3 linked regions of the Caenorhabditis elegans genome follow. The protein of the gene in region 2 interacts with the protein of the main gene of each other region in a pairwise test. Each region holds a gene or a part of one and is shown on either strand. Other genes may lie near its edges. The genes, in order: ceh-34, eya-1 and ntl-2.1.

Region 1 (3,753 bases), on a different chromosome or scaffold from region 2:
TTGTGTTGTAAAATACACAAGAGCTTGTGCTTTTAAAACTGATTCCATTACTTGGTAGCATTGTGGAAGGTTGTAGATGAAATTGGCCTGAAAGTTGAAATATAGAATTTTTAATTTTTTTTTTTTGAAGCTGCTTTTTTCAGTACGAAAATCTAGCTTTTTGTATTAAAGTTTTGAATAAAAATTAATAAAAATGTAGGAAAACACCTGATTGAATCGAAAATGTTACTCATGTTTGTTGAAAAAATTGCGAAAAATCTCGAATAGTACTTGAAAATTGCCGTTTCAAGAAAAATAAATTAAAGTTTACAAATAGTTTGAAGCAAGTCTCTATGAAGTTTTCAAGAAAATAAATATCGCTTTCGAATTAATCGAATTTTTCTATATTTTGACATGCATTTTTAATTTCAAAAATTGGACCACCATAACTAATTCGACAGTTTTGTCAATTTTGCAGAACAACGTACTGACGCCCTTGTTAAATATTAATAGGATAGTTTTTTTTTTTTTAATTTTTAGATTACGTTGCATTGATGACCTTAAAAAATGTATTATTTTCCTGTTTAGACTTTCTCTTCCATTGCTTTACTATGACGGCTCATATCTTATCTGTGATGGATTTTATCAAAAAAAATTTCAAAGTCAAAATGTGTTATAGAAAAATATTTTCTATGTATTTTGTCAGTTGACAATTTGTTGATGAAAATCAAAAAAGGCAAGATATAATGTGTCAAAGTGGAGCACAGAAGTTGCAAGTTCAAAACGGTATCCCCATTTAGAATAAATCTAAATTTCTGTCTCTATAAGGTTCCAACATCTGCTCCCACTTTCCCCACATCGTCATCATCATCAAGCTTTCATCCATAATGGACTTTTGTTTGCTTTCTAGAAAGAAAAAGGGAAAAGCGCGCGTGCGGCAGCTACCGTACTCGCTTCCTTCTGTCACCTTTTTGCTTCACGTTTTTATCGTTCGACTCTTCCAAACTCAAAACCGCAAAATTCAAGCAATTGGAGAAAAGAGGGGGAGAGAGATGATCTTCAGTGAGAGACTACGTCAAATGTTTGTCAAAACTTTTGATAAGTGACACATGACACCTGCGTTCGAAGCAACAAGAAGGAGAAGATTATGATGAGGTAGGGGAGAAAATGATGATCGAAGCGAAAAGAGACGGAACCCACAAAATTCGCAACAAAATAAAAAATGAAAAGTTGATCTGAATTTGAAAGAAACTCACCAATTGCTCAGTCCGTCCTGTCTGAAGTCCCTCGTTGAATAAGGACTCACAAATACACACAATTTCTTGCTCCGAGTAGGATGTGGTTGCTCTGGAAATTCAAAAAATTAAAGTTTTTACGTAACTTGGAAAAAATAAACACTAAAAAATTCGGAGGGGCAAAACTTATAATTATTTTAGGCAGTTTTACAAAATAGCATATTGCGAAAAGTTGTTTCTATATTTTTTCATAAAATGTAGTGCCAAAATATAGAAAAATATTTGATTGATTTGAAAATAACATTCGCTCCCATTTAAAATTGTGTAGAGAAGCTCAAAAATTGGAGTTTTTGCCGAACTTTTTGAAACTGAAATTCGAACATTTTTTCGAATCAAACAAATATTTTTGCATATTTTGGAACTAAATTTTGAAGGAATATATTGGATCAACTTTTCGTCGAATTCGATCTTTGTTTTTGGAATTCCACACTCCTGATTTGAATTGAAATCCCCTTGAATTAAGGAAAAGAACACCACGGTGAAAAACGAACTCATTCGAAGACTGAGACGGTGGAAGGGGGAAAAGAATCCTCTAAAGTAAAACTATCGCTTGGCGCCACCGCCGCCCCATCGGTGTCGCGTTGCCACGTATACAATTACCAAAGAAGATCGTAACCCGAGCTTTCCCGAGTTGTTGCTTCAAGGATCTCAACTTACGTCAGACTATTTTGCGGGTTATATGACTGCTGCATGTTCGATGAGCCAGATCACAGAAGACGTGATCCTAAAAGATCCGTCGATCCGGCGCCGGTAGGAGCTGACAAAAAGAGAGTAGGTGGTGAGTGGTGCTGTGAGCCGAGAGCGTCGTCCTCTTGTCGTCCCCCAGTGAATGTCGCCTCCCCGTTGGCTCACCCCAGTGTGTGTGTGTGTGCTCTTGGCCACGCCTCTATTTTCTCCGTCGAATAGGAATGAACGAGCACCAAAAGATCGTACTGTATCAATGCTACCATTTTGGAAGTTTTCATGGAACTTTTGTGTGATAACAAATTTTTTGAAAAAATTGACACAGTGGTAATGGGAGATCTTGAAAAAGTAGGAGGAGGCCGCTTGGACCGGAGCGCAGAGTAAGAGTATCCGAGGTTTGAAATTCTAAACTTGCCTATTATTTTCTCATTGCCTTCCTTCTCGCGTCGTTTCTTCGGGCTAGCTCCTGGTTTCTTTTCGGGTTGAATCGAAGCAGCATACAGAGACATTCAGTAGTGTTAGGGAGACAGACGCCAGGAGTTGGAATATCATTTTACACCTGTACCGATATCTATTTCACCAGCTTCTGCCACACACAACCCGTACCACCACACTTATTTCACTCCCGCATTTCATAGTGATGATCACTTGAGTTTGATTAAATTTTTAAGTTTTCGTAGTGTGTATATCTACAAAATGACCTATTGCGCCATATTGCTCCAACATTTTTAATTAAAATTTAGTGTCAAAATGTAGAAAATCGCTTGTTTTATCTGAAAATAGCATTCATTTGTAAAAATCTTCAGTAATTGCCTGAAAAGTTGTGGATTGCAAAAAAAAATTATGCTCAATAATTCGAACCTTCGATAACCGGGAAATGACAACTTTCAGGTCATTTTACAACTTTCTCAAATGTTTCAGTTAAAATAAATACAATTAGCAAATAAATCAAGTAATTTTCTATATGTTGACTCTGTTTTAGGTTTAAAAAAAACTGGAAAAACATGGTTCTATCGTTCATTTTGTATAATTGCCAACAAATAATTGCCGCTGATTTTGAATGACTAAATTTTTGTGCTCGGAAAGTTTTTATTCCAAAATTCCAATTTTCGTTTTAGTTACCTGTTGAACAGTCTATCCCCTCTCTTTACCTATCGTCCATTGTCTCAAAACTATTATATCATACTCCAAGTACCTTGCGCAATCAAACATTGACTCTGGAGTCTAGATCAGAGGTTGAACATTTTTCTTCTACCAACTGCTAAAATCAAGATTGATTTCCACTTTATGCTCATTAGCTTTCTGTGTATCTTTTGACCATATTGAGCAGCATCATGCGCGGGCGCTTAGCCGTACAGATGTTCCAGTAAACCGGGTGCTTTCTTGTCCAAACAATGGCAGATGATAACTGGTTTACACGGTCATGTTTATGTACTGGACACACGTCCTTTACGAGAAGTGGCACTACAACTCGTGTTGCGTGAGCAATAACTGTACTTGGTGGACCTGTGAGTTTTTTCTGCACATTGACTGTAAAGTTCACTTGATCATTATTTTAGGAGTTGAAGTAACACTGTCTGAAAAAATCTGTCTTGCATTTTTCATTACTCTCAGCTCACTCCTTTCGTGGCAAAACCGGTCAACTAGTTTTAAGATTTTAACTATGTGCTCAAAAAAGTTCTGAGTAAAAAACTTTGAGTACATAGATATCTAGCCTCCATCAGGATTATCAAAAATTTAGAAAATCTCTAAACGGTTTTAGTAAATCTTTTTGCACTTTTACTCGTGCTCCTGT
Region 2 (3,753 bases):
TTCTTGCTATTCTAGTTTTAAAGTTACGAGGGTTTTAAAAATTTAAAAATAAGCGCCAGGAAATTTTCAAACTCATCTCTTATGCTCATTGAGCCATTTTCTGACTCGTGACTAAAATTTTCGACATGCCTATACCCAAATTAGTCTAAAACACCAAAAAAAAAAAATTAAGCCACAGCGCGGACTCGAACCCGGTCTTCTGCTTGGAAGCCCACCAAAATCCCACTGAGCCACTTGCACCAAATTTTCGAAATTTTATTTTTGGATTTTTTACTGCTTTGCCACAGAAATTGTGCATCGAAGAGCCCCAAGACCTCTGAATTCGATCCCGTCACCACAGGGGGTCCCCCCAACTGTTGCAAGTTGGCTAATGATGGCTATATAATGATGTAATATGGTTGCGTGAGGGGGTATCTAGACTCAACTGGGTATTGGAAAAAGACTAAGGGGTGCCTAAAATCAACTAGTCGCATAAATTGACCAAAAAAAAAATCCAAAATTTACAATAGGGATGTACATCATAATTTTTGATAATTTTTCTGATTAATGTCAGTTTAAAAGGCGATTCGGAGCAAGTTCCTAGTTAAAAATGTATCTTTTTGGAAAAATAGTGAAAATCAAAAATAAGTGTGCTCATTGAGCACCAGGTGACCCAGACATTTGTTTACGTGGATTATAAACTTCGCTAATTATTGATTTGTTTATTTTTCCGAGTTGCAACAAAGTTCGGAATTTTCTACTAAAAAACTTCAACCTAGAAGTTTAAAAGATAGAAATTTGAACTCAGCGCACTCAAATTAATCTAGAAACAGTAAAATGAAAAAATTGTGCCACAGTGCGGACTCGAACCCCGGTCGTCAGATTGGAAGTCATCCGAAATCCCACTGCGCCACTTGGACCAAATTTTCGAAATTGCGAAAAATGAAGAGTAAAAGCTCTGAAAAAAGTTTATTTCAGCTTAAAAATCTACATTTTTATCTGAAACCCCAACCCCGTACCATTAAAATTCGCAGTTCTACTCGTTTTGAGCTCCGAGAGCTTTTTTTCTGGGTTACAAGGAAATTAAAGCCAAGAATCATTTATATAGCTCATCCACACAAAAACAAAAATAAATGCTACAGCGGGGACTCGAACCCCGGGCTTCTGCTCGGAAGCTGTCCAAAAACCCACTGCGCCATTCAGGAACATTTTTAAGATTAGAAATATCGATTTTTCGAGTTTTTTAAATTAAAGTTCACGGTTTAGAAAACTCACAAAATACAGAGAACATTGTAGGAGAGGTTAGCTAGAACTGTCTAGGTACTGAATGGGGAAAGGAGGTACATGGAGGGGGGGGGGGGGGGGGGGGGGGGGGTGTCTTGGAAGAGCTCATCTTACAGACAGACCCTTCTCGCAGAACTTTCTCCAGTTTCATCACCATGCCGATATTTGATACTTTTGGGATGGGGTACCGGGCGCCCGGGGGCGCCCTGAAGCGACATATAACTCACCTCAGAATCTGGAAGCATTTTTTTTTTGATTCAGGAATTGCGAACAATTTCAGATATATAGATTTGGAAATTGTTGAGCAAAAATTTGAGCAACTGGCACGCAGAAGCAGGGAGAGACTGACTCTGATGTATTTGTGTGTGTGTGTGTGCTCTCGTTTTCTCTGCCGGCTCTCTGAGCTCTCGGAGCTCTCACCCCTGAGCTACCGTATGTCTGAGCCAGTCGGCTGTCTGCTCGGAGCTCCGCCTTTTGGTGGAAAATCGCATTATTTTCGGATTCTGAAAAATTAATTTTGAAAAAAAAGTTTTGTACGAGTGACTCAGTGGGATTTTGGAGGGCTACCAATCTGACGACCGGGGTTCGACTCCGCACTGTGGCATAATTTTTTTTCTTTGTTGGTTCGACTATATAAGCCCTGCTGAACACGAATTTTTAACATACAAATTTTTAACTTTTTATTGAAAATAAACTATCAAGCTTAAATTTTAATAGCTCATTGCACCTAGCACACATGAGACATATGCTGAACAGTCCCAAAAAATGCTCAAAATTTTTAAAAATCAGCTCAAACCTCGATTTTCTGAAAATTTGCTCGAATGGCTCAGTGGGATTTTGGAGGGCTTCCAATCTGACAACCGGGGTTCGAGTCCGCACTGTGTCATAAATTTTTTTATTTATTGGTTTGACTATACAAGCCCTGCTGAACACGGATTTCTGACTTATATACTATTTGTAATAACATTTTCAACATTTTGGGGATATATATATATCCCTTCGAAGCTTGGTCTCCAATAGCTTGAACAACTTTAAAACAAGTTCAAAATTGGAAAAAAAAAATATATCGAAATTGCTGAAAAATCAGCTCAAACCGTAATTTTCAAGTTTTTCTGAAAATTTGGCCGAATGGCTCAGTGGGATTTTGGCCGGCTACCAATCTTACGACCGGGGTTCGAGTCCGCACTGTGGCATGAATTTTTGTTTTGCTGTTCTCAGAATAATACAAATCTCCTGAATTCGAATTTTCAACTCTCAAAACCAGAAAGACTTGCTAGGTCGGCTCAAACTTAATTTCTTTTTGTGTACGAGTGGCTCAGTGGGATTCTAGCCAGCTACCAATCTGAGGTCCGGGGTTCGAGTCCGCGATGTGGCATAATTTTTTTTTTGGTGTTATTCTACTAAATTTCGACTTTCCGAGTTCGAATTCGGTCAAAAATTAGACATTTCCACACTGCTTTGTGATTTTTTCGAACTTTTATACCTTCTCAAAAAATCGATATTATTTGTTGATTTTACCCCCTTCCCTTATTTTCCTCTCATTTCTGAGAGTATAGGGAGATGGGGAGCGTGCGAAAGCGGCGAAGCGATCATATTTCAGTTTTCGGGAGCACAGAGTCGAGACGCTGACTTCAATTTTAGTAGTATATGGGACGAGGGACGATTTTGCAATGGAATATTGATTTTGGAGGAAACCCATTGAGTTTTAAGGCATGGGACCTTGAAATTCGGATTCAGAATGTCGATATTAGCCAAATAACACTAAAACAAAAAAATATGCCAAGGCGCGGACTCGAACCCAGGTGGTGAAATTGGTAGTCACCCAAAATCCCACTGAGCCAGTCGGACAAAAAGTTGAAAAGTTCTAGAAAATATGAAATTTGAATAGCAAAATAAAATTAGAAGTCTTAATAAGAAGTTTTCAATAATTCAGGTACTGCTTTCAAAAATTAGCAGGTCGAATTCGGAAACTCTCGAGAAAAATGCTTCTGTGGGCTTCTCGAACAGTTTATGAACCTGGAAGTTTGAAAAATAAAATTAAAATGTTGAATTTAGACTAGTGGGCTTCACTCCGCAGACGTATCCTTTGTAGCATATATTTGTGGGTACCAGCCCTGCGGTTGACATGTTGCATCTAAAAAATTCGAATATTTGGAAAAAATTGGATTTTTTAAATAAAAAAATTCACAAAAAATGGTCCAACTGGCGCATAGTGAAAGTGTTATATTCCTTCCCTTTCCCAAAAATGTCAATTTTTCGAGAAAAAACATTAAAGCTCAAGTTTCCATAGCTATGTGAGCTTAGAAGAGCGTCAGAGTATGCTGAAAAGCCGCAAAAATATCAAAAATTGTTGAAAGTTAGAAAAAACCACGTTTTCCAATAATTTTCAGAAACATGTCCAAATGGCGCAGTGGGATTTTGGCGGGCTTCCAATCAAACGACCGGGGTTCGAGTCCGCTTTGGCAAAAAAAATTTTGTTTTTGAGTTACT
Region 3 (3,753 bases), on a different chromosome or scaffold from region 2:
CTAGGGGTCCAGCAAAGTCGACTTGATGGTCGTCTGCTAACATCTGCAATAATTTATCGATTATTTGATTGTCATCGACGCAGAAATTTTGTTGACATTAAATTAAATTTAAGTACGTTAGCCAGTTGATCTCCAAGCATTGATCGCTGTGTTTGACCAGAACCGACGCCGGGAAGCGCGGGAAAATCCTCGTTCTGTATTTGGAACTCGGGATTTGTTAGACTGGGGTCCGATCTCATCAGGTTAGCTGAAAATTAATTTTTGCATGGTTTAACAACACAGGAACACGACAAAAACTGCGAAAATTCGGAGAATTTTTATGGAAATTCTGAACGAAAAATCTCTGCGGGGTACGGTCGATCATGGAATACGCAACCACCGTCACGGACTTTTGCACACATTCAATATTGATTTTTCTTAAATAAAAAATAAAATTTTCCAAAAGAATTCGGCGGTTTTTTCTCGAATTCATCGGAATTTTGCAGTAAAAATGAGTAAATTTTATCAGAAAATTTGCGTTTTGCCTAAAAACTCACGGAAAGAAGTTGCCAACATCGAAAAATTGCACAATTGCGTTCAAAACAGAATGAAACACGCATTGTAATTTTTAAAATGTTCAATCAGAATTTCGCGCGCGCGCATTTTCAAAGAGCAAACAAAAATTGATTTAAAAAAAAATATATATTCGCGGTTCACAACCAGCTATCGTACTTTTTTTTTTAATTTTTGATACTTCATGCTTTTCATCACACAGAAAGAGAAAAAAGTAAAATTTACCATAATTGGGTCTTTGTGCGCCGTAAAGATCTCTCGACGGCGATGACTGGGCAACGTTCAAAACACCTCCGCTCGTTGTTGGGATTGGGGAGAATCCGCCGCCGCCGAGTGAGGACGTTCCTGAATAGAAATCGATGAAATGCCTTGAGAAATGAAATAATTGTTCTAATTTTTTTTAAATATTGATAAAAAGGATGAAAGATTCAAGGAAAACATTTCCGTGGACTTCCACACAAGCAGGTCAAATTTAATATTTTAATTTTAATTTTTTTCCATTTAACAATAAGAATGAGAGTTCGACAGTGAGTTTTTCATAGATTTAAGAATATTCTCAAGCTAATAAAAAAAAATCAGTGAATTTACCTTTCGCGCCCAGTGATGGAAACTGGGACTCGTCAATAATTGTTGCGTTGGAGTGAAAGTTGGAATGCGAAAGAAATTGCTGCGTTTGAGGCAATCGTCGTTCGGTAGCTACTCCACCGACTGAAAATAGGCTTTGGTTAATTTTAATTTAAAGTTTTCTTTCTGAATTTAAAATTATTTTCATGCGATCGATAATTCGAATTAATCGATTTTCCGCATGGATTTATTCGGATGGGTCTCGCCACGAACACACTTTGATATTCACGGTTTTTTTCGACAAAAACGTTAATTTTCGAAGGATTTCTCACGGAAATAAGACGGAATTATTCCCCAGGCTCAAATTTTTGCACCACACCAAAACTCGACCCGGAAATGTTTTTAACGCGAAAAGGTGTGTGCGCCTTTAAGAAGTATTGTAGTTGAAAACTTGTGTTGTTGCAGAATTCTCATCGATTTTTATTATTTTTTCAACCGATTGTTTCCAAATTGAGTTTTTAGAATAAACAAATATATTTTTGTTTGAAAACTATGAAAAATCGATGAAAATCTTGCAGCAACAAAAGCTTGAAATTACAGTTCTCTTTAAAGGCGCATAGCCTTTTGCATTTAGGGAAAATTTGTCGTGTCGAGACCGGGAGCCGTATTTTTTGACGAAAAACCGTCTCGGTAATAGGAAAGAGGTTCAAATATGAATTTTGGTTCACTGGCAGGGTCCATCAACAGGAGAGCTTTTTCATCCAGAATTAAGATCTTCGCGGCGAGACCCAGATATCTGAAACCTTCAAAAATCAAAACTCACCAGAATTCATAAGCACTGCGCTTATGGTAAATCCTATGCGGAGAGATGGCTACGTTCTACTCATAAATCTGAAAGAAAATCGATTTTGGTCACCAGTTTCGCATGCGGTTTAGACGGGACGGGGAGGGGTAGATCAATTGAGAAAACATCTGAAGTCGAAGAAGCGTGTCTAGAACACGATGTTGATGATGAAGCTGATTCACAAAAAAAAACACAGTCACATGATGGGCTGAGATGATGATCAGATCAGAATCCGAAAAATTCAGTGCGGTCGTGGTGTTCGAAAATCGAAGAAAGCAGCGGAGAAATGAGAGACGACGACGAGAAATCGAACAATGCTGTGTGTGTATTTCCTACTCACTCTCTCTCTCTCACGTACCCTCTCCTCTCCCTCAACCATTTTCTCTACTGTCTCCGCCGCTCTCTATCTCTCTTCTTCTCCATTTTTCTGTCCCCCATAGAGGCCGGCAGTCAATAGGGGCTGCAGTGTTACCGTACCCCCGAAAACCTGCAGATCAAACACGACGAGATAGTGTGTCGAGTGGAAGAGGGCGCGGAGATGCACGCGACTGCTCGCGGGCCGTACGATCGAGCGCGTTTGCTACTGAAGGGGGGGGGGGGGGGAGGGGGGGTTGGTTGACCTGACCTCTCTTTGCCTCTCTCTCGAAAATGGAATGAATGGGAAGAGATAGAGAGTTAGGAGAGAGGATGTGCAGAAGCACAGAGAAAGCTAATCAAACCGAATGTGGTCTTTTAGTAAAAGAAGTGAGAACGATGGACCCATGAGCACACAAGATGCTCCTTCCTCATTGATTTCTTCCCCCTCTCCTTACTCATTTTTCACTAAATCGGTCAACTGGAAATTTGTGTATGTAGCATGCTTCTTCTGATCTCTAAATCTCGGCCTTTTCTGGCTTTACTACAAAAAAAAACCAAAAAAATTGTTCAAAAAGCTCGTAAATAATTTAAATGGGGTTCGAGCAAGACACAAGGCTATGTGCTCATTTTGTGAGTATTTATTTTATGGTGCATCGTTCAGTTATGCAGCTAGATTTTTTTTGGTTTTTTTTTTAGATAAAAAGATGTTAAAAATTTTGGAAGAAAGTAGTTTTTGGTAATATGTTTTTCTACCATAAAAGTTGTGTGCCTTTTATCCCAATTTTACAATTTTGCACAAAAAATACGGTACCAGGTCTCGACACGAAATTTTTTTTGAGAAATGCAAGAAAGCGTGCACCTTGAAAGAGTACTGTAATTTCAAATTTGTTGAATTTTCCTTAATTTGTAATGATTTTCTCAGAGTTTGTCAATAAAAAAAAAGTATATTTTATAAAAAAAGTATGAAATCCCGCAGCACTAAAAATTTCAAATTACAGTACTCCTTAAAGGCGCACACCCTTTTGCAGTTAACAAAAATTTGTCGCGTCGAGACCGGATACCGTATTTTCGGGCGAAAACCGAAACCCTTTGCGTCCAAGTAATACCGAATTTTTAAGAATGATTTTTGGAATTTTTTGCTTGAAAAATTGCAATTAATTGAATTATAATTATTCTACCTAAGAAAAAAAAACCTAAGTTTTATGGTTTTTTTTTTGAAAAAAAAATTATTTGATTTTCAGATCAATCTAAAAAATTCTGAAATTCACTTGAATTGTCATTTTTCCAAATAGAAAACCAATTTTTTCAGAATTTTCATTAGGAATTTGTTGTTTTCCTAGATTTTTTCCCCACTTCCTTAAAAAAACCAAAAGTTCACAATGGAAATTTATGCAAAAATTGTGGCATTTACTTTGGTCTCCATAGTTTTTTAGATT

What was found.
Region 1: the proteins of eya-1 (region 2) and ceh-34 interact in binary tests that used the Caenorhabditis elegans proteins (3 or more experiments, as listed by UniProt).
Region 3: the proteins of eya-1 (region 2) and ntl-2.1 interact in a two-hybrid assay, tested with the Caenorhabditis elegans proteins (2 studies listed by BioGRID).

The regions. Positions count from the first base shown.
Region 1 is NC_003283.11:5,317,471-5,321,223, forward strand, and holds the start of ceh-34 (Homeobox protein ceh-34), read right to left. Parts: upstream 2,108-3,753; 5' UTR 1,967-2,107; coding exon 1,932-1,966; intron 1,327-1,931; coding exon 1,236-1,326; intron 88-1,235; coding exon 1-87. UniProt on the Caenorhabditis elegans protein: Acts as a transcription regulator. Binds to the sequence motif 5'-TCAGGTT-3'. Binds to the cis-regulatory element of proapoptotic factor egl-1 gene and together with eya-1 activates egl-1 expression to promote motor neuron M4 sister cell apoptosis.
Region 2 is NC_003279.8:14,229,735-14,233,487, forward strand, and holds the start of eya-1 (Protein phosphatase eya-1), read right to left. Parts: upstream 1,627-3,753; 5' UTR 1,509-1,626; coding exon 1,491-1,508; intron 1,297-1,490; exon of another isoform or gene 1,255-1,296; intron 1-1,254. Other genes in the region: clec-114 (PAN-3 domain-containing protein), read right to left, coding at 3,301-3,397. UniProt on the Caenorhabditis elegans protein: Tyrosine protein phosphatase. Acts probably as a transcription regulator in the embryonic and postembryonic development of several tissues including pharynx, vulva and gonads. Required for the development of anterior tissues during late embryogenesis.
Region 3 is NC_003280.10:4,374,452-4,378,204, forward strand, and holds the start of ntl-2.1 (NOT2/NOT3/NOT5 C-terminal domain-containing protein), read right to left. Parts: upstream 2,008-3,753; 5' UTR 1,950-2,007; coding exon 1,940-1,949; intron 1,261-1,939; coding exon 1,141-1,260; intron 898-1,140; coding exon 778-897; intron 591-777; exon of another isoform or gene 556-590; coding exon of another isoform or gene 537-555; intron 248-536; coding exon 117-247; exon of another isoform or gene 97-116; intron 44-96; coding exon 1-43.